Linked DNA regions of Arabidopsis thaliana. The protein of the gene in region 3 purifies or fractionates together with the protein of the main gene of each other region. This does not show direct contact. Each region holds a gene or a part of one and is shown on either strand. Other genes may lie near its edges.

What was found.
Region 1: the proteins of AT3G13930 (region 3) and AT4G16155 fractionate together in Arabidopsis thaliana (co-fractionation; one large-scale study listed by BioGRID). This does not show direct contact.
Region 2: the proteins of AT3G13930 (region 3) and LPD1 fractionate together in Arabidopsis thaliana (co-fractionation; one large-scale study listed by BioGRID). This does not show direct contact.

The regions. Positions count from the first base shown.
Region 1 is NC_003075.7:9,153,057-9,158,888, reverse strand, and holds AT4G16155 (dihydrolipoamide dehydrogenase), read left to right. Parts: upstream 1-1,755; coding exon 1,756-2,073; intron 2,074-2,315; coding exon 2,316-2,462; intron 2,463-2,586; coding exon 2,587-2,721; intron 2,722-2,822; coding exon 2,823-2,925; intron 2,926-3,038; coding exon 3,039-3,163; intron 3,164-3,395; coding exon 3,396-3,521; intron 3,522-3,609; coding exon 3,610-3,690; intron 3,691-3,966; coding exon 3,967-4,029; intron 4,030-4,138; coding exon 4,139-4,213; intron 4,214-4,296; coding exon 4,297-4,375; intron 4,376-4,493; coding exon 4,494-4,594; intron 4,595-4,681; coding exon 4,682-4,795; intron 4,796-4,898; coding exon 4,899-5,012; intron 5,013-5,104; coding exon 5,105-5,176; intron 5,177-5,268; coding exon 5,269-5,319; downstream 5,320-5,832. Other genes in the region: ATOEP16-2 (Mitochondrial import inner membrane translocase subunit Tim17/Tim22/Tim23 family protein), read right to left, coding at 151-297, 396-466, 547-580, 754-782, 878-958, 1,079-1,130, 1,222-1,344. UniProt on the Arabidopsis thaliana protein: Lipoamide dehydrogenase is a component of the plastidial pyruvate dehydrogenase complex (PDC).
Region 2 is NC_003074.8:5,785,872-5,792,400, reverse strand, and holds LPD1 (lipoamide dehydrogenase 1), read left to right. Parts: upstream 1-1,875; 5' UTR 1,876-2,017; coding exon 2,018-2,341; intron 2,342-2,430; coding exon 2,431-2,577; intron 2,578-2,717; coding exon 2,718-2,852; intron 2,853-2,969; coding exon 2,970-3,075; intron 3,076-3,160; coding exon 3,161-3,285; intron 3,286-3,531; coding exon 3,532-3,657; intron 3,658-3,755; coding exon 3,756-3,836; intron 3,837-4,211; coding exon 4,212-4,274; intron 4,275-4,377; coding exon 4,378-4,452; intron 4,453-4,532; coding exon 4,533-4,611; intron 4,612-4,713; coding exon 4,714-4,814; intron 4,815-4,919; coding exon 4,920-5,033; intron 5,034-5,110; coding exon 5,111-5,224; intron 5,225-5,393; coding exon 5,394-5,465; intron 5,466-5,589; coding exon 5,590-5,616; coding exon of another isoform or gene 5,617-5,640; exon of another isoform or gene 5,641-5,710; coding exon 5,711-5,893; 3' UTR 5,894-6,016; downstream 6,017-6,529. Other genes in the region: AT3G16960 (plant self-incompatibility protein S1 family protein), read left to right, coding at 137-347, 456-589; AT3G16940 (calmodulin-binding transcription activator), read right to left, coding at 6,416-6,445.
Region 3 is NC_003074.8:4,593,934-4,600,986, forward strand, and holds AT3G13930 (Dihydrolipoamide acetyltransferase, long form protein), read left to right. Parts: upstream 1-1,833; 5' UTR 1,834-2,101; intron 2,102-2,264; 5' UTR 2,265-2,306; coding exon 2,307-2,339; intron 2,340-2,727; coding exon 2,728-2,821; intron 2,822-3,090; coding exon 3,091-3,155; intron 3,156-3,251; coding exon 3,252-3,337; intron 3,338-3,429; coding exon 3,430-3,470; intron 3,471-3,651; coding exon 3,652-3,707; intron 3,708-3,791; coding exon 3,792-3,866; intron 3,867-3,949; coding exon 3,950-4,042; intron 4,043-4,224; coding exon 4,225-4,464; intron 4,465-4,554; coding exon 4,555-4,627; intron 4,628-4,734; coding exon 4,735-4,835; intron 4,836-4,963; coding exon 4,964-5,049; intron 5,050-5,122; coding exon 5,123-5,198; intron 5,199-5,282; coding exon 5,283-5,350; intron 5,351-5,437; coding exon 5,438-5,504; intron 5,505-5,594; coding exon 5,595-5,690; intron 5,691-5,769; coding exon 5,770-5,872; intron 5,873-5,960; coding exon 5,961-6,056; intron 6,057-6,139; and 3 more. Other genes in the region: EIF4A1 (eukaryotic translation initiation factor 4A1), read right to left, coding at 1-43, 128-196, 314-324; AT3G13940 (DNA binding / DNA-directed RNA polymerase), read right to left, coding at 6,714-7,053. UniProt on the Arabidopsis thaliana protein: The pyruvate dehydrogenase complex catalyzes the overall conversion of pyruvate to acetyl-CoA and CO(2).

The sequences.
Region 1 (5,832 bases), on a different chromosome or scaffold from region 3:
TTCCAAACAGATAACAAAACGATCTCTCTCCAGCTTCGAGAGTTTCAGGAAAAGATCTTAGTAGACCTTTAGCGAATTCGTTTTCACAAAAAGAAACATAACTGATACATGAAACAACCCTTATGCATTAAAGCTTCTAATACAAATCATCTAGAAAACGCTAGAAAGGAGATTAGCAGCGGTGGAAATAGCTGCTCCAGTGAGAGCAGACTGAACCACTTGCTCATGGCTTGTCCTCTCAGACGTCGTCATAGCCATTGCCGCTCCTGTCAATGCTCCAGCTACCGCGCTGTTCCGCTGTGACACATATCAAATTACATACTAATTAAAGATCATGTTCATCATTTGTTCGTTGATGAAAACAAAATGACACAAGTCAAATTAATTAGACTAACCCAATCATGAGCTCCTCCACGAACCTCTGTCATACCGTAAGTGATACCTGAGTATAACCCTGCCGCTAGCCCTACCATTCCCAAATCATTAAATCTCTTTCCAACGTTAATCGTGAAGCGTTAACTTAATCAAATTCATATATAAACTCACCCCATTGGAGAGATTCTTTTCCTGTGTTCTTCACCTATAGGCCAACAAATTTAAACATTTTCAGTTAACTAACAAGAAACCTTATGAGTTACGACCATTCTTTATGTATTATTTTGCAACACTTAGATATGAACACACTAGCACACTAGCACACGAATATTTGACGAATAATAAAAGGCTAATAATTAGCGATTGTAATAAACTCACCAATGCATCAAGAGATTTGCTGCTTTCCCCTGATTAAGAAAACAACGATAAAACATCATTAAGATAAACATAATGCTGATTACATAAGATCATCAACCAAATATGATACAATTATGTTACGGACCTCTGAGATTAGGGAACCTATGTTTCTTGTTCCCTGTAATCTCCGACGGTGGACCCACGTTGTTCGAGTCAAAACCTGCCCCTAAAATGTATAATCAAACTAAAGTACGTTCTCTATTTATTCATTTTCACTCTTACATTACATACTCATTTCTTATACATATAAATCATAAGTAAGAAGAAACCCGCCGGAGTTTCTTACCGTCAACCACGGTAAAGTAAGCTTCCCTTGACACGGCTTGTAAAGCTCCCACCTTCATAGTTAATCCATATTAAGCTATGTTACTACATATATGTTACATGCATATACGACAGGGAAACGAAGAGATATGGATGAAAACTTACTCCGGCGGCTTTAACGAAGGAATCTGCGATACGGTTAAGAAGAGGATGACCAAGATCGAACAAGTGTGCCTTCTCAAAGCTTCTTATCTCATCCATTACAATTCTTCCTCCACTCTTCTCCATTTTTTTCTTTCTTTCTTCACTTGTTGCTTCTCTCTTTCTCTGTTAATACTTCTCTCTTCAACAACAAGTAAGGAGAAGATTGTGAAACAGAACAGCGTTCTTTTGACACGTGTTCTGCTTTTCCACACGTGTCGGAGTCTGCCGTTTGAACTGTTCGCCGTTCTCCTTCCCCACGTGGCTCTCACAAGATAACGTCAGGCAGACCGAGAAATAAAAGGCCCAATGGGCTCAGAGTTGGATATTATAGCCGGGAATTTTGAAATCTCCGGTTTAAAGACGAGAAACGTGACACGTGTCATCTCCGCTTTGATATCTCCGCCTCCGCTCGTCGGAGTGAGACTAGTACAGACTTGTCATCTCCGTCACTCCCTTTTTCTCTACACAGATCTCTCATTCACTCTCTCGTACACAATGCAATCGGTTCTTTCTCTTTCCTTCTCACAAGCATCGCTTCCTTTAGCGAATCGTACGCTTTGTTCATCCAACGCAGCTCCTTCTACGCCGAGAAATCTCCGGTTCTGTGGACTCCGGCGAGAAGCGTTTTGCTTCTCTCCGTCGAAGCAATTGACCTCGTGCCGTTTCCATATTCAGAGTAGGAGAATCGAAGTCTCCGCCGCTGCTTCTTCTTCCGCTGGAAATGGAGCTCCATCGAAATCATTCGATTATGATTTGATCATTATCGGAGCTGGAGTTGGTGGCCATGGAGCTGCATTGCACGCCGTCGAGAAGGTCCTCTTTCTTCCTCTTATTAATTAGGAAGAATTCAAGTTCGATTATGATTCTATGCTTTGCCAATACTCTGGATCAAATTGATAGTGGAATCATATGCTTTGTTTGATAGAGATGGTTCAGGAATGCTTTGCAACATCTTCTTCAATATGCCAATTTTGGAATCGTACTAGCTATTACTGTATTTCTTTACGGTATTCATGATCTCATCGAGTGATTGTTGTTTTGATAACGTTGTATAGGGACTCAAAACTGCTATCATTGAAGGAGATGTTGTTGGAGGTACTTGCGTTAACAGAGGCTGTGTGCCTTCCAAAGCTCTACTTGCTGTTAGTGGTAGGATGAGGGAACTCCAGAACGAACATCACATGAAGGCTTTTGGTTTGCAGGTAGTAAAAATTCCTGTAGAATGCAATTGTAGACGCTCAATTTTGATCTCAAATCATTGTGAAGCAAGTATCATCTTCCTGGCCTTGACTCTTGTTTCCTTCCATTGACTCCCTTGGAAAACAGGTTTCAGCTGCTGGTTATGACCGCCAAGGTGTGGCTGACCACGCAAGTAACCTGGCTACCAAAATTAGGAATAATCTCACCAATTCTATGAAGGCACTTGGTGTTGACATATTGACAGGGTTTGGCGCTGTTCTGGTCAGTATGTTATTGTCTTTGGTTGACTATATAAACTCCAAATGATAGGTCGTTGTTATGTGGTGATCCTAATACTCTTTAGTCTTTTGTGCACTTTGCAGGGCCCACAAAAGGTTAAATATGGTGACAATATTATCACCGGAAAAGATATAATCATCGCAACTGGATCTGTACCGTTCGTCCCGAAAGGAATTGAAGTTGATGGTATGTGTTTTTGTATAAATGATATGTGAAAGGGGAGTTGCCTCAAAAACCAAAGCTTCTCATTTCTTTTAGTATAGCAAGTACCCTAATATTCCTCATATTTTGTGCTGCAGGAAAGACTGTTATCACAAGTGATCATGCATTGAAATTGGAGTCCGTTCCTGACTGGATTGCGATAGTAGGAAGTGGTTATATCGGTCTTGAGTTCAGTGATGTTTACACGGCCCTTGGAAGTGAGGTAACATTTTGATTTTGTGCTAATGATTTGCACTGGTGTGATAGTGTGTTGTTTTTTGCGTTCTCTTTAGTTTTCTGTTTTCTCTCAATAGTAACAAAAGGCTCTTAGGATGTTGTTGTATTGGTAACCTGATCGAGCAAATGGGCGATAGCTATATTTTGCTTAAGGTTTGTGATGCTCTGCAACTCCAGGAAGTGACCAAGCTCAGGGGAACTCTTTTTTTTTTTTACAGGTAACTTTTATTGAGGCACTGGATCAACTAATGCCTGGATTTGATCCTGAGATCAGTAAGCTGGCTCAAAGGGTTCTAATAAATACAAGAAAAATTGACTACCATACTGGAGTATTTGCAAGCAAAGTAAGCCTTTTTGTCTCATGCATTTTAAATTAGATATCTTCCTTACACAGTGGGTTTACGAATTTTTTTTGTTAACGCTTCTTTACAGATCACTCCAGCAAAGGATGGGAAACCAGTGCTGATTGAACTAATTGATGCCAAAACCAAGGAACCCAAGGATACTTTGGAGGTAACAAAATGTTCTGCAGATATCTGAAAATTTACAAGAGAAAATAGTTGTCTAGTTACTCTCACACATGTTCTTTTCACATGCAAAGTATATAAATCAATGACATGCATACTTTTGTAGGTTAGCCAGGGCTTTTCGTATTATAAAATCAGATCTTTTCCTAAAAATTAAAATAATAATAATAATAATAGAATGTCTTGGAGTTACAATCACATTTGAGACTTTCATGTGTTTTTTGCCTGCACTGAAAGTTTGACCATAAGTTCCTTGTTCAAGGTTGACGCTGCTCTAATTGCTACTGGAAGAGCTCCATTCACCAATGGTCTTGGCCTGGAAAATGTATGAATTAACAATAAACCCCATTCCTTATGAATATGTTTTCATTTTCGTTCCCTGAGGACCTTATTTGGTTACTAAAGAAATAATAAAAGCTGTGATTTCCTCACAGATCAATGTTACCACACAAAGAGGTTTTATACCAGTTGATGAGCGAATGCGTGTTATTGATGGAAATGGAAAGCTGGTTAGTGGAGTTTTCTTTCATATAGCTTATTTCTTACCAAAAGTTATATATTTTTAAGCTACTGAGTCACTCTTGGTTGATAGGTTCCCCACTTGTACTGCATCGGTGATGCCAATGGTAAACTGATGCTTGCTCATGCAGCTAGTGCTCAAGGAATTTCTGGTAAATGGTTTTATCAATATTTCACTCCAAATGCATCTTTCTTTTGTTTTTCCTTTTCTACACTGAATACGTTAGATTGACCTTTATTAAACTCTATGCATCTACTTGTGTTGGCTAGTGGTGGAGCAAGTCACAGGTAGAGATCATGTGCTTAATCATCTTAGCATCCCAGCTGCTTGTTTTACTCATCCTGAAATAAGTATGGTGGGATTGACAGAGGTAACCTCTAGACACTCTTAGTGGATTGGTTTTTAAAAAATTGCAATCCTAATTTATGATTTCGGTAATCTTTAATGCAATTCCCAGCCTCAAGCGAGAGAGAAAGCTGAGAAAGAGGGATTCAAAGTAAGTATCGCCAAGACAAGTTTCAAGGCAAACACAAAGGCCCTAGCCGAAAATGAAGGAGAAGGACTCGCTAAGGTGAAGAGAAGAACCAAAAATTGAAATAAAAAAAGATAGTTGTATATAGTTCTGGAGTGACTTGCGAAGATAAGATATCTGAACACTCTCTTCATGTGAACAGATGATATACAGACCTGACAATGGTGAAATCCTTGGAGTTCATATATTTGGATTGCATGCTGCTGATCTTATCCATGAAGCATCAAACGCGATTGCTTTAGGAACACGTATTCAGGTCTGGCTGCAAACTAACCTCTCTCCGGTATTGATCATAGGACTTTAGATTGTGAGCTTTTTTTGTGTGTCTTTGTGTGATGATAAATGCAGGACATAAAACTTGCTGTTCATGCACATCCAACACTGTCTGAAGTTGTAGACGAACTGTTTAAAGCAGCCAAGGTAAAATACAAGAATCTACATTTGCATTCTCTAATCAATAGACATCGAATCTCGATTAAAAGGCAAGCAACTCCTGTCTATATCAATTTCAGGTCGATAGTCCAGCTTCAGTAACAGCACAAAGTGTGAAAGTTACTGTGTAAACATGAAGAATTTAAGAGCAGCCTGTAACAAAAGTTTTGTGGAAAAGACATTTGTACTTCACCAATATTCATCAAAGGACGAAGATTGCGTCTCTAGTTTCATCACGTATATTTGTTTCATGGTTTTGACAAACTGTATCTTTATTAGATTAAAAAAAAAAACAGATTGTGACAGACACAAAATTAAAGTATATTTATTATAAGTCAGAAATCCAAAATATATAACAGAAGAAAGACAGTAAGCAGGAGAACTTTTAGACAAACTAAAAAACGTTTTAGCTTTTTAGCGTCAAATCTCACAAGTCACATAACGCAATACAAGACTATCCACCAAACAAAAAGAAAAACTAACGACAAGACGCTCTATGGAAATTTCCCAGCTCCAGGATCAATTTACCACAACACCCTTTGAAACTTTTCTGAAAACCGCTTCTTAAAAGGTCGAAATTGCCCCTCGTCATTTGCACAAATTTACAGTTCCTCCACAACACAACACACCCACTCCTCCTCTAT
Region 2 (6,529 bases), 1.2 Mb from region 3:
TCAACAAAACAAAGAAGCTTGTTAGGGAAACATAATCAATAAAGTTTGGTATTATAAATACAATAAAGTACTAAGTGGAAAGAGTCCATATTCAATATACTTTCATATTGCAAGGAAAACAAAAAACAAAAACAACATGGGTGCTCTAGCAGAACTTGTAGCTCTCATTATCGTTATGTGTGCAAGTGTAACAATGTCCCTCGCTCAAAACCCCATGGCTTCACCACCAAGTGTTGAGAACCCAAATACAACAGTGGTGATACATAACGCTCTTTCAGGTTATTGGCCAATGGCATACCATTGTGCATCAAAAGACGTTGATTTTGGACTCCGACGTATGCTAGCTGGTGGATCGTGATCATTTGAATTTACACCCAGTGTTTCTGGAGATACTAAATTCATTTGCACTTTTGCTTGGAGACTAGTGTTTCGTTATTTCCGTATATACATACAAGAAAGAGACCAAGAATCTGCAATGTTTGGATGCAAAAGATGCGAATGGAAGATACGTGAAGAAGGACCTTGCAAACTGAACAAAAAGACTGGAATGTTTGATCTTTGTCCTCCTTGGGATTCTCAAAATATTTGAATTTTTTTTAACATTACTGCTCTGTGTAGCTACCTTTATTTATCTAACAAATAAATTAATAAAATAAAATAAAACATTTGATCTTTAAAATCGATTTTTTGGAGCCTTTTATTCGGTATATACCGAAGTTAATATAGAAAAAATCAAGTTAACACAATTGCATTTTCTTGAAACACAGAGAATTTAAGCATAATGATCATAAACATGTTACCATTTACCAAATGACTTTATCATGCTTCTTTGGCTACTTGAGCAAGAGGATCTACACCATTTTTAGAGCAGAAATACACTCCAAAAAAAAGTAACTCAAGTCTCAAGATGAGTTGCTAGCACCAAAAGATATTGCGCGGCGCTGGCTTCAACAAAATCTGATCTACGTTTCACTAGACCAACAACTAAAATAGGGTGGTCGTCCTCGCTTTTGTGCTCCAGAATTCGTCCATTACTGGTTGGTGAATACAAAGCAAAAAATTACGAAAACGTACTTGAAGTTGTGAACTGTTTTATATAATTTACCTTTCTTCAAAACGCCATAGAAGCATAGAACGATCGTGTAACAACCATGCACGTCAAATCTCAGGGAAAAGTCCATGTAAGATTGTCCCTTCCTTATCATACATACATGTCCTTAACTAAAGAAGGTAATTTCCAATATGCGTCAACCTCGGCCCACGGCTGCACCAGGACAACATGAAAAATAAAATTAAAAACCATTAAGGAAAAAAGCAAGCAATTTGTTTCATGAATATTTATGCATAGATATAATTAATTACCTTGCTTGTTTTTCAGGTGATGGATTATATAAATTACCACGGCTATATTTTGTAAAGTCAAAGAATTCGTTGATTGGACGACGCTGCAGCGAGCCTTCTTGGCAGTAGTGGTTAATGAGTTCCCATGCGAGTTCCACATTCTTCATCGAAATCAACATCTTGCTGGCTACTTTTAATTCACTACTAGAACTGTCGAGCAAGTAATAACATAACCCTAATGAAACAAATTACACGATCTTATGAGCGTGAAGTGGCTACGAGGTATTTCATAAAGCATTTTAATTTTGAAAATCAACTTCACTATCCAAAAAGTTCCTAAAATCTAGAGAAACTAGTTTTTTAAGCGATTTGTTTTTAAGTTTGTTACAAAATCCAAAAATTAATTTAAATATATATTCACAGCCAAAAATGGGCTACGAGGTCTATTGACCCAATGGGCTTTTTAAGACTTAAACCAGGTTAGAAAAAATGAAAGAAAAGTCGTAAATGCCTCGTGTACAAAAAAAAGTGGTTAAACAAAACAAAACAAACAAACAAAGCGGGCTTTGAAAACTCCGCCTCCGTTTGTTGGCTATTTACACTCACTCTGTCTCCGCCGGTAGATTTGTCAGCTGCGTCTTCCTCGTTTTCTCTCTCTCTGTCTGTGTCTCTTAGAATGCAATCAGCTATGGCGCTTTCGTTCTCCCAGACGTCGTTTACAAGACCAAACCACGTGCTCGGATCATCTGGTTCTGTTTTCTCTACGCCCAGAAGTCTCCGGTTCTGCGGACTCCGGCGGGAAGCGTTTGGTTTCTCAACGTCGAATCAGTTGGCTATTCGCAGTAACCGAATCCAATTTCTAAGTAGGAAGTCATTCCAAGTCTCCGCTTCTGCTTCAAGTAATGGTAATGGCGCTCCACCGAAATCTTTCGATTACGATTTGATCATCATCGGAGCTGGAGTTGGTGGCCACGGAGCTGCTTTGCACGCCGTTGAAAAGGTTTGAAGTTTCTTATATAACCTGATTTGATGAAAGTAAAAGATTTGCTCTGCTTATTATGGAAACATTGGTGATTTTGTTTGTGTTAGGGACTTAAAACAGCCATTATTGAAGGAGATGTTGTTGGAGGGACTTGTGTTAACAGAGGATGTGTGCCTTCTAAAGCTCTTCTTGCTGTTAGTGGTCGAATGCGGGAACTTCAGAACGAACATCACATGAAGTCCTTTGGTCTCCAGGTAAATATCAACTCATGTTCTCTGTTTAAAGTTGCAAGCTTTGTCTTTGGTGTGAAATGGTTGTAGAAGATCGAGCTAGTTCAGGAATTACTCATTACCTTTCACTATCTTATGGTTTTTGGTTTTCCTTTGGGAAACAGGTTTCAGCTGCTGGATATGATCGTCAGGGTGTGGCAGATCATGCTAATAATCTGGCTACCAAAATACGAAACAATCTGACCAATTCAATGAAGGCAATTGGTGTTGACATATTGACTGGATTTGGCAGTGTTCTGGTCAGTACTCAGTAGTACGTTCTATTCTTTCACGTTTACTAACTGTAGACAGGAACATGATACAAACTTTTCTTAAACGATGATCCTAACTCATATCAATATTTTGTATTTCTGCAGGGTCCACAAAAGGTTAAATATGGGAAGGACAATATTATTACTGCAAAAGATATAATCATTGCCACTGGATCTGTGCCGTTTGTCCCTAAAGGAATTGAAGTTGATGGTACGTTTCTTGTTTTGGACGTAGAGTTGTTAAGGGAGCATGCAGACTTGATTATTCCTTGAATGTTTACATTTTGGCGCTGCAGGAAAGACTGTGATCACCAGTGACCATGCTTTGAAATTAGAGTCTGTCCCTGAGTGGATTGCAATTGTAGGAAGTGGTTATATTGGTCTTGAGTTCAGTGATGTTTACACAGCTCTTGGAAGTGAGGTAACATGATGTTTCTGTACTAATGATATTACTTTAGTACGACTTTGTGATGTTGTGTCCTTGTACTTGAGATTGTAATAACTGCAATTAGCAATGTTCTCCAATTTTCTAGTTCTTTGTTTGGTCTCTTCCTGTATTGAGCTTGTTTTTGTGTAAATAGTAGAAAATAAGATTTTAAGGTACCAATCTGTTGGTTTTTCGATTTAAATTGTAGTTACTGATCGAAAACGGAAACCTTTTGTGCAGGTAACTTTTATAGAAGCACTGGATCAGCTAATGCCTGGATTTGATCCTGAGATCAGTAAGCTAGCTCAGAGGGTTTTGATAAATCCAAGAAAGATTGACTATCATACTGGAGTCTTTGCAAGCAAAGTGAGCCTGTTATATCATGCATTGCAAATACTGCTTCTCTTTCTCTATACAGTGTGTCCATGTATTCATCTGTTAAACTTAAATCTATTCTTATTCAGATTACTCCGGCAAGGGATGGGAAACCAGTTCTGATTGAGCTTATTGATGCCAAAACCAAGGAACCTAAGGATACTTTGGAGGTAACCAAATGGAATTTAAAAGATAACATGATCTGATGTCTCACAAAGAGAATATTTAACAGTTACTGGGTCCTTAACATGATCTGATGTCTCATGCCTGAATTGGGAAGATTTGTGCCGTTGGTAGTGGGTCCTTAGAAGTCTTGTTTTTCACTTTTTTGCTTTTCGCTGCAGTATTAACCACATTGTTACTCTTCCCACAGAAATGTAAGTATACACATTATGCATAGGTGGATTAGTAAAGCTTCTCATTTTCTGAATTTATTGTGGCCTTTCGTCTCAAGATAGAATATAAATAGTCATGTCTTTTGGTTTCTTTTCATTGTACCATGTGATTTTCTGCGCTGAAAGTGTAATTTTGTTTTCCTTCTCCAGGTAGATGCTGCTCTTATTGCTACTGGGAGAGCTCCATTCACCAATGGACTTGGCTTGGAAAATGTATGAAATGACACTAAATCCCACCTTTTAGTATTGTCATTTTGGTTACCAGAGAATGTTTAGTTGTCAGAAAATTAACCTTGAAGCTGTCATCTCAATGCAGGTCAATGTTGTGACGCAGAGAGGTTTCATACCAGTTGATGAGCGAATGCGTGTGATCGATGGAAAGGGGACTCTGGTCGGTTTTATTTGCATATACATACCTTTTCCTTGTCAGCAATTCTTTCTATATGCTAAATTCATTTCTACTTGTGATAGGTTCCGAACTTGTACTGCATTGGTGATGCCAATGGTAAATTGATGCTTGCACATGCAGCCAGTGCCCAAGGAATTTCTGGTAAATGGCTTATCAGTAGGAGGCTACTAACAATGCAATAATATTTTCCCTTTTTTCTTCTTGAGCCTTGTATTAAACTCTGAGCTCTTACTCTGTGGCTAGTGGTCGAGCAAGTCAGCGGCAGAGATCATGTGCTTAATCATCTTAGCATCCCAGCTGCTTGCTTTACTCATCCTGAAATCAGCATGGTGGGATTAACAGAGGTAGTTTTATATCCTAGTACTTGTGTACAGAAGAGGGTCAAAAAGAAGAATGCTATGAGCAAAATATGCTTACTGTAACTCCTTATGTTTTGACATTATTGCTAGCCTCAAGCAAAAGAAAAAGGCGAGAAGGAAGGATTTAAAGTTAGTGTTGTCAAGACAAGTTTCAAGGCTAACACAAAGGCCCTAGCTGAAAATGAAGGAGAAGGAATAGCTAAGGTGGGAGAAGCAAAAGTTGTTGATTTATTTATGTCTCATGAAAGAACATAGAGATCTCATTGCTTTTCATTATGCAGATGATATACCGACCTGACAATGGTGAAATCTTAGGAGTTCATATATTTGGACTGCATGCAGCTGACCTTATCCATGAAGCTTCTAATGCGATTGCTCTAGGAACGCGTATTCAGGTAGGATTTCATTGATTAGTGATTACTATTGAATCTAGCTCGTAGCCTTTGATATTGATAATATCCTACAGCGAAATCAAGTCATATACATAGTTCCTGCTGAAACTACTAAACGCATTATTTGTATCTGTTTCTTGATCCCCTGCATGTTTTAATGGTATCTCTGCAGGACATAAAATTGGCAGTTCATGCACATCCAACACTCTCTGAGGTCCTCGACGAACTGTTCAAAGCAGCCAAGGTAAAGCAAAACAGTCTCCTCATGCCATTGATCAGAGAGCCCCTTTATTCTTAACTGCAATCAATAGATTTAAGTCCTCTACTAAAAAGCAAAAGAATCTTACACTATAAGTTCAATTTTTCAGGTTGAAAGTCATGCTACGACAAGGACAGTAAGTGAAAAAGTGGTTGTATAATAAGAAACCAAAAACTTATTGGGGTGGGGAGAAACATCTTGAAGAAAGAAAATTTGTGATTGTACTTTAGGGAGATGCAAAGATAAAGCTAAACACGAACCAGGAAGATCGAAAAGGAAGAAGAAGAGGAGGAGATGATGAGAAACAACCTTCCGTAAGTAAAGACTTGAAAGATATATCTACAAGGCCTTCTTCTTTCTTTGAGAATATTTCTGTTGGAGTCTTGTCTCTGCTTTCACTTATATTTGTTTAATTGTTCCATGGTTTCAATTAGTGGAGATTGTGGTTTTGGTTATTGTATGTTTGTTTGATGTGAACGATTTTGGATGATTCTTCTCTTTTTACTAGTAAAATCACTTGTCTGTCCATTATTATCAATCAGATTCAGACGTGAAGTGACAGATGAACCTAGTTTTTTTTTTTGTCAAACAAACAAACAAGATGAACCTAGTTTAATGTACAAATGTTCATAAGATATTTCTCTGGTTACTTGCAATTTTATTCTACAAATATACAAGTCTAGATTACACCAAAGTCACATAGGAACCCAGTTACAGAAATAGACAAATAACTACAATACCTATTTGTTAATTCTGTCTCTCTTTTTCATACAACAGAGATTAGGTCTCGTTATGTATACTTTATTCTAAACCAGTTGCAGAAAGATCGAGAGTAGCCTTTCCCATTCACATAATTTACAGATCAATTACCATCCATGTTTAACAATCAACACCAAACTCTCTTTGACTCACCTCTCCATAGCCATTTTGATGTATCAAATATCTTCCAGGCAACCGTACTCCAACTGTGTCACACCATAACAAGACTCGTTAATTCAAGTATGAACTTATCTCCGGTTAGAGTTTTTTTTTCCAAAACTGAGATTCAA
Region 3 (7,053 bases):
AACATCATCATAGGATGTGAAGAACTCATCTTGTCCCTCAAGTCTGTATCAATACAGTACAATTAGCAGCTAGAGCATGCGGAGAGAACACACTCAAGAATGAAAAAACAGAAGTAAAAAGACTCACACTTCATTGAGTTTCTGGTCAAACTGACGTGCATCAAACTGTGTGCCTTCTGGTGCAGATCCTGCCATGCTACATAAAAAGAACAAAAACAATCAGATTTCATATCAAAAGGAAGAGAGACAACACCTATTTTGATATCGTTAATAATATGATTGCAAAGGAGGAAATGTGACAAGAAAGCCAAACTCGAAGTCCATAAAGAGAGGAAAACAAGCATTAATATCTGCCTCAGATGATGTGCGGAGAAAATGTATAAAGGCACATATGGTTATCTATTAAACATAGACACCACTCAACCTATTTCTCCAAATTACAAAAAAAAACATTCAATCAGACAAAACCAAGTGAGTGTTAAGACAAGAACATCTGAGCTTTGAAGACGATTCATTTCATTCTATTGAGAGACTAACCTAGCCGTAACAAAATCTACAAACCCATCAACAAATCTACAGATGTGTAGATCCTAAATTTAATAATCGTCATCATCAGCAGCTCAGAATCTAATAAAGAGAACAAAAACGAAAGCACTTCCACAGCAAAAAAAACGATCTTGAAGTAACGAAAAATCAAAACTTCCAAATCAACTCAACAAAGTTGAAACCAAATCTATCGGAAAACACAAAAAAACAAATCAGAACAATCCAAAAGTAAAGAAACAATCATGAATCGTAAAAGTTACATCGAGATAATAGATAGACAATCCGATAGGATGCGAACCTGGAGCAAAGTTGGTAAGCGAGAGTAAAGGGCTTTTTTCAGGGAGCTTGAATCTCCCAAACTCGGATCTGAACCGCGTTGAGAGAGAGAGAGCAAAGAGAAGAGCGAAGATTGCGAGAGACTGGTGGAATATCCGAAAGAGGCTGAGAGAAAACGCGTTACCTTGTTTATATACTCCGTCTTTAGGGTTTTCTCCTTTGGAAATCTTCTCCTTTTCTTTTTCGGATTTCCGGTTTTACCCCTTTATTCCCTTTCTTTTTACTCTTTTGGCTCGGACAAGGTTTTCCAACACTTAGCTCATTGTCTTAACTTGATTTTGGCAAAAATAAATAAACAAATATCTAGTGGGAAATTAGGAACATAAATTCTTCATTTATTTTGTGACTAGCAAAGAAAATATTCTTCATTTATTTTATTTTCTTTTCCAAAGCTTTCTTTCTCCTGCAACTTTTATTGCTTTTTGACGTTACAAAGCATTTTCCCGATTACAACGAGGATATTAGAAGAATAAAGTGACTGATAAGAACGTTTTATCTGAAAATGTCTTTACTTATTAACACATCTATCTCTCTATGTTGAATGTTTAATCATGTAATTGTTCCACAAGTGATATGAAGAATCCTTGAAACGAAGCAAAACACATTGAGTAAGAAGAAGGTAACTAGCTAGTATGAAGAAGCAGCAAGTTGCTATCTATCTTCAACAAAAAATGCTTTGATTTTAGCCTCAAGAGACTTTCTTAGAATCTGTTGCCATTGAAGAAAAAGCTGGAGAGGGCAAAACATAATCATGATGCTTAGGATAAGCAAAAAATATGTATTTAGCTTGTGTAGGTAGAGGAAGAGCTAGGAGTTTTTTGTGTGACAGGAATCGAGGGAAAACGATGGGCCAAAGATTAGGCCCATTAATAAGTTTGACTAATCCCTGCCGTTCATTAGATGCCTACGTAATCACTAACGCACCTGATGATCTCTGTCTTTTGGTGAGACGCAAAAGCTCAGAGAATAATAATAGGGCCCAATATAATAAAGTACAAACCGAAATTTGTGAAGCTTAATTAGTCGGTTTAAATACTTTTATATCGGTTATGGTAGAATTGGTGTTGGTACGATACAATCTGGTACATGTAAGGCAGCATTTTGCCATTTCTGAAAAACCTAAACACAAAACTATCTTCATCATCATCATCAAATCCCAGCTTTCTTCCAAGTGATCCTTCACTCTCTATACTGCGATTTACCGTTCTTCTGACTCTTGGTGAGTTCTAGATCGAATCCTATCTTCCATCCACATATTTACTGTTTCAAAATTGGATTGAGTACAAGTCAAATTCATCGATCTCGATCTCTGATATAGTTGCCGAGGGAAAAAGGAGAAACCCCCTAACAAACATTCCCACCATTTTTTTTGTTATTTGCAGTTGCGAATTCGGATCGGCTGACGCAGCTCCGATTGCACAACAATGGCTTCTCGTATCATCAATCATTCCAAAAAGGTTTCTCTTTCTCTATTTTTCATTTTTTTCTGTGGTTTGACTACCATTTTTGATCTTGTAAAACTGAGTTTATGCATTCGTTCTTATGTGTTTTGCTCTGCCAATCATTTTTTTCTGAACTGAGGTTCGTTTTCCGGGTTTGACTTAATCTAATCATGAATTTGGTATTTTTAATTTGATCATGGGCAATTCTGCATTTTGCTATTGAGAGCTTTAGTAACCTCCTTGTAATCTGAATTGTGATTAATGTAGTAGCTTCGCTTTATGATTCAATTGTGGTATTAGCTATTCATTTTATTAGTACAAGAAGACTCTACTTTTACAGCAGAGTAATTGTATGTTGCTCTTTGTAAACACTATTTTGACGATTGTTGTGTTATCTGACCAGTTGAAACATGTTTCCGCTTTACTGCGGCGTGACCATGCTGTGGCAGTCCGCTGTTTCTCCAACAGTACCCACCCCTCTCTCGTTGGAAGAGAAGGTAATCCAGTCAGCTTTCTTAGTGTCCTCTTCATTGCTATCCTTAAGTTCATTTTATGTAGAAATGTGTGGTGGTTTCTTTTATTTGATACGGTAACAAGCACCACACAGTACTCTGGGATGAATAGTCCAAGTTTGACTTTCACATCGTTTTCAACATGAAGAACATAACAACGTTCCAACTTTAATTAATTGAAAGTTGGTATGTTTTGAGTATATATTATGCTTCTCGCTTAAGCATTTATTTTTCTATTTTTATTTGGTCTTCAGATATCTTCAAGGCCCGCCTGAATTATTCCTCTGTAGAGAGAATTTCAAAATGTGGTACTGGCAATGTAAGTCCCTGCTGTTCAGTTTCCTTTCTCGTCTTTGCTTTGTCACGTAATCGTCTGTGTTTTTTTGGTCGTAATGTCATTAGCTGCATTATATAGGTAACAATGCTTAGTGGTATTTCAACAACGAGCACAAAACTAAGCAGCCCAATGGCAGGACCAAAACTATTTAAAGAATTTATAAGGTATGTAATCCATTTACCGATGAGAATACAACTTGCTACCTTCCTGTATGAATACTTCTATCCTAACTGTAAGCTTCTTTTCTTGCTTTTAGCTCCCAGATGCGATCAGTGAGAGGATTTTCATCCAGTTCAGGTATTTAGTTCTTTATTGTAACTTCCCGCTTGTTCTAACATATATTTTCACTTGAATTGTACTTTTTTTTGTGAGCATCTGACTTGGTTTTTGTGCCTTTTGCGGCCATCATATTTCTGTCACTGTGTATATGCAGCATACATGGTTTGTTTTACTGATAACTTTTTAAAATATGTTTCAGATCTTCCTCCTCATCAAGAGATTGGAATGCCTTCTCTTTCGCCAACAATGACTGAGGCATGTACCTCTGAATACCTCTTACGAAAATTAACATGGTTTATTGTTTTATCATTCTACTAAAGATATCTGTTGAAACTTCAGGGTAACATTGCCAGGTGGCTGAAGAAAGAAGGTGATAAAGTTGCTCCTGGTGAAGTGCTTTGTGAAGTTGAAACTGTAATGATAATCCTGATTGAATCTCTTCCTGTATTGATTCTTATGCCAGGAATAAAACACTTATCTCAATCTTAATATTTTAGGACAAAGCAACAGTCGAAATGGAATGCATGGAAGAGGGTTTTCTCGCCAAGATAGTAAAGGAGGAGGGGGCAAAAGAAATTCAAGTTGGGGAGGTATGAGAGTTTCTGACTTTTGGAGACTTGTTAATTATAATGGGTTCTCATGAAGTATTTGATTGTGAGCCCTATGCTCCCTTTAGTTGAAGATCAATGAATATTCAATAAAAATGACAAAGATCTTTATCTTCATTTGTAGAATCACATATAAATGGTCCCTTTTTTTTTTGTCCAACTAGGTGATTGCTATCACAGTTGAAGATGAAGATGATATTCAAAAGTTTAAAGATTACACACCCTCATCCGATACTGGTCCCGCTGCGCCTGAAGCAAAACCAGCTCCTTCCCTACCAAAGGAAGAGAAGGTAGAGAAGCCAGCCAGTGCTCCTGAAGCCAAGATCTCTAAGCCAAGCTCAGCTCCTTCAGAAGATCGTATTTTTGCCAGTCCTCTTGCAAGAAAGTTGGCTGAAGATAATAATGTCAGTTTCCAGACGAAAAATATTAGTTAAGCTCGTGTTAGATCTCCATCTCTAATTTGTTTTTCCTACTTTTCCTTTGAAAAACATTAGGTACCTCTCTCAAGCATTAAAGGCACAGGTCCTGAAGGACGGATAGTGAAGGCTGATGTCGAAGATTTCTTAGGTATCAGAAATCCTTGGCTCTTCCCTCTTCTTACATTTTCCCCTCTCGTTACAGAATTTACCTCATCCCTATGTTCTAAATTTCTAATACATCTTCCTATGGTACAGCTTCAGGCAGTAAAGAAACTACTGCCAAACCTTCCAAGCAAGTGGATTCAAAGGTTCCAGCTCTTGACTATGTTGACATCCCTCACACTCAGATACGAAAGGCAAATACCTATACAACCTTATATCTTGATTGCTTGTGGTATTTCTAGATTACCTCGACCATATATCTCTCTGTTTTGTACTATAAGCCAAGAATTCCGAAGTTTTGTTAATTGTATAAATTTGACAGGTCACAGCCTCACGTTTGGCATTCTCAAAGCAAACTATTCCTCACTACTACTTGACCGTGGATACATGTGTTGACAAAATGATGGGGTAAGTATTAAGTTTTAGATCATATATTTTGATTAGGTAAGTGGATGCTAAACATAGCTATTTTTATATGCAGTCTTAGGAGTCAACTCAATTCATTTCAAGAGGCTTCCGGTGGGAAAAGGATATCTGTAAATGATCTTGTTATTAAGGTGCATCTTACTTCTTTTCTTGCAAGTCTAATTAAATCTCATTTTGTTCTCCATTATGAAACCTTTTCTTTTTCGAAATTGCAGGCTGCTGCACTGGCTCTTCGAAAAGTTCCTCAGTGCAATAGTTCATGGACAGATGAATACATCCGCCAGTAAGTACATATTCTGTTTCAGAGGTTCATGAAAACTTTGCAAATCATCTAGTTTCTTGGTTCTTATTTTCCTCCTTTTATGTACAGATTTAAAAATGTGAACATCAATGTCGCTGTACAAACAGAAAATGGGCTCTACGTTCCTGTGGTCAAGGTTAGGGAGCTCTTGATACAGTTATTAACCTTCCTCTGCAGAAACTTGAGATTTCTGAAAAACTCAGTTCATCTAATTGCTTGATTTCAGGACGCGGACAAGAAAGGACTGTCTACAATTGGAGAAGAGGTTCGATTCTTGGCTCAAAAAGCAAAAGAAAACAGCTTGAAGCCGGAAGATTATGAGGTTGGTTTAGAATTCGGTCAATCTCACTAGCATAATACTGCTGTGAAAGCAAATCAGCTCAAACTGTTTCTTCTGACAGGGAGGAACATTCACAGTCTCCAACCTGGGGGGACCTTTTGGCATCAAACAGTTCTGTGCCGTCATCAATCCACCTCAAGCAGCCATTCTAGCAATCGGATCTGGTAAGTCCTTAGCATACTCATCCACTTTATCCGTTGAAGTTTCTTCCGCGTAACTTATTATAGTGTTGGTGTCTGAATCTCAAAACAGCTGAAAAGAGAGTTGTTCCCGGTACTGGTCCAGACCAATACAACGTTGCTTCATACATGTCTGTAACACTAAGCTGTGACCACCGCGTAATAGATGGTACAGAATCCGCCTCTCATTCCTATTGTCATTATTAATCATCACCTCATCGAAAACGTCTAATAAGTCATCTTCCTGTGCAGGTGCAATTGGAGCCGAGTGGCTGAAAGCATTCAAGGGCTACATCGAGACCCCAGAATCTATGTTGCTCTAAAATTCAGACGCACACACACATCAAAAGCTAAACTCATAAGAGTCTTCTGACCTCAAATTTCTTTCCCACAACATATTCTACCAGATTTGATCAGCAGTAGGCAATGGCCTTTAAAGTTGAGTGTTTTGCTATTCTTTAAATCATTGAGTTGACAGATTTTTGTCTCAAAATAAAATCAGGAATCCAACAATTTCACTGTGCACTTGTTTTTTGGCTTAATGCTTGTTCATCATGGGTTGGCAAAATAAAACCCATTTACTTAATTTTATTAATCAACTCCAATAAATATCTCTTTCTTCTAATAAAATGTCACTTAGTTCACTATCATGGACTTAGAGCAGTTTGCTTGCTTAAATGCCAAAACATCATATATCATTAAACCCAAGAAACAGATGTCTTAGGAACTAAAACAATTTATAATATCTCAACAGACCGTCAAAGAAATATCATTAAAATAGCAGAAAATATGTAAAGATAGAACAAAATCTTCTCCTAGATCGTCATCACTTTCGTGCCCTGCGCCTCCGGTTAACCTCCGGGAAATTGAGAGGGGTCGGTAAGGTAGCAACCGTAGTAGAATTCTGCTTCAGGAATTTGCAGCCAAGCTGTAGAAAATGTTTCCTCAGCTCAACTGTGCTTATCCTCAGATCTTTTGCTATGTCTTCTGGATCGGTCATGAAATTATCCACGTGAAGGGATAGCACAAGAACGTAGCTTATCAGAAGGTTGATCTTGTCAACAGGTATCCTATCTGATTCAGAATCCTTGAACATGCTGTTGAATTTTTGACGGAAGATGTCTGGCATCTTGTGGTCTTTAGCGGAATCGTAACCATTCATTGAG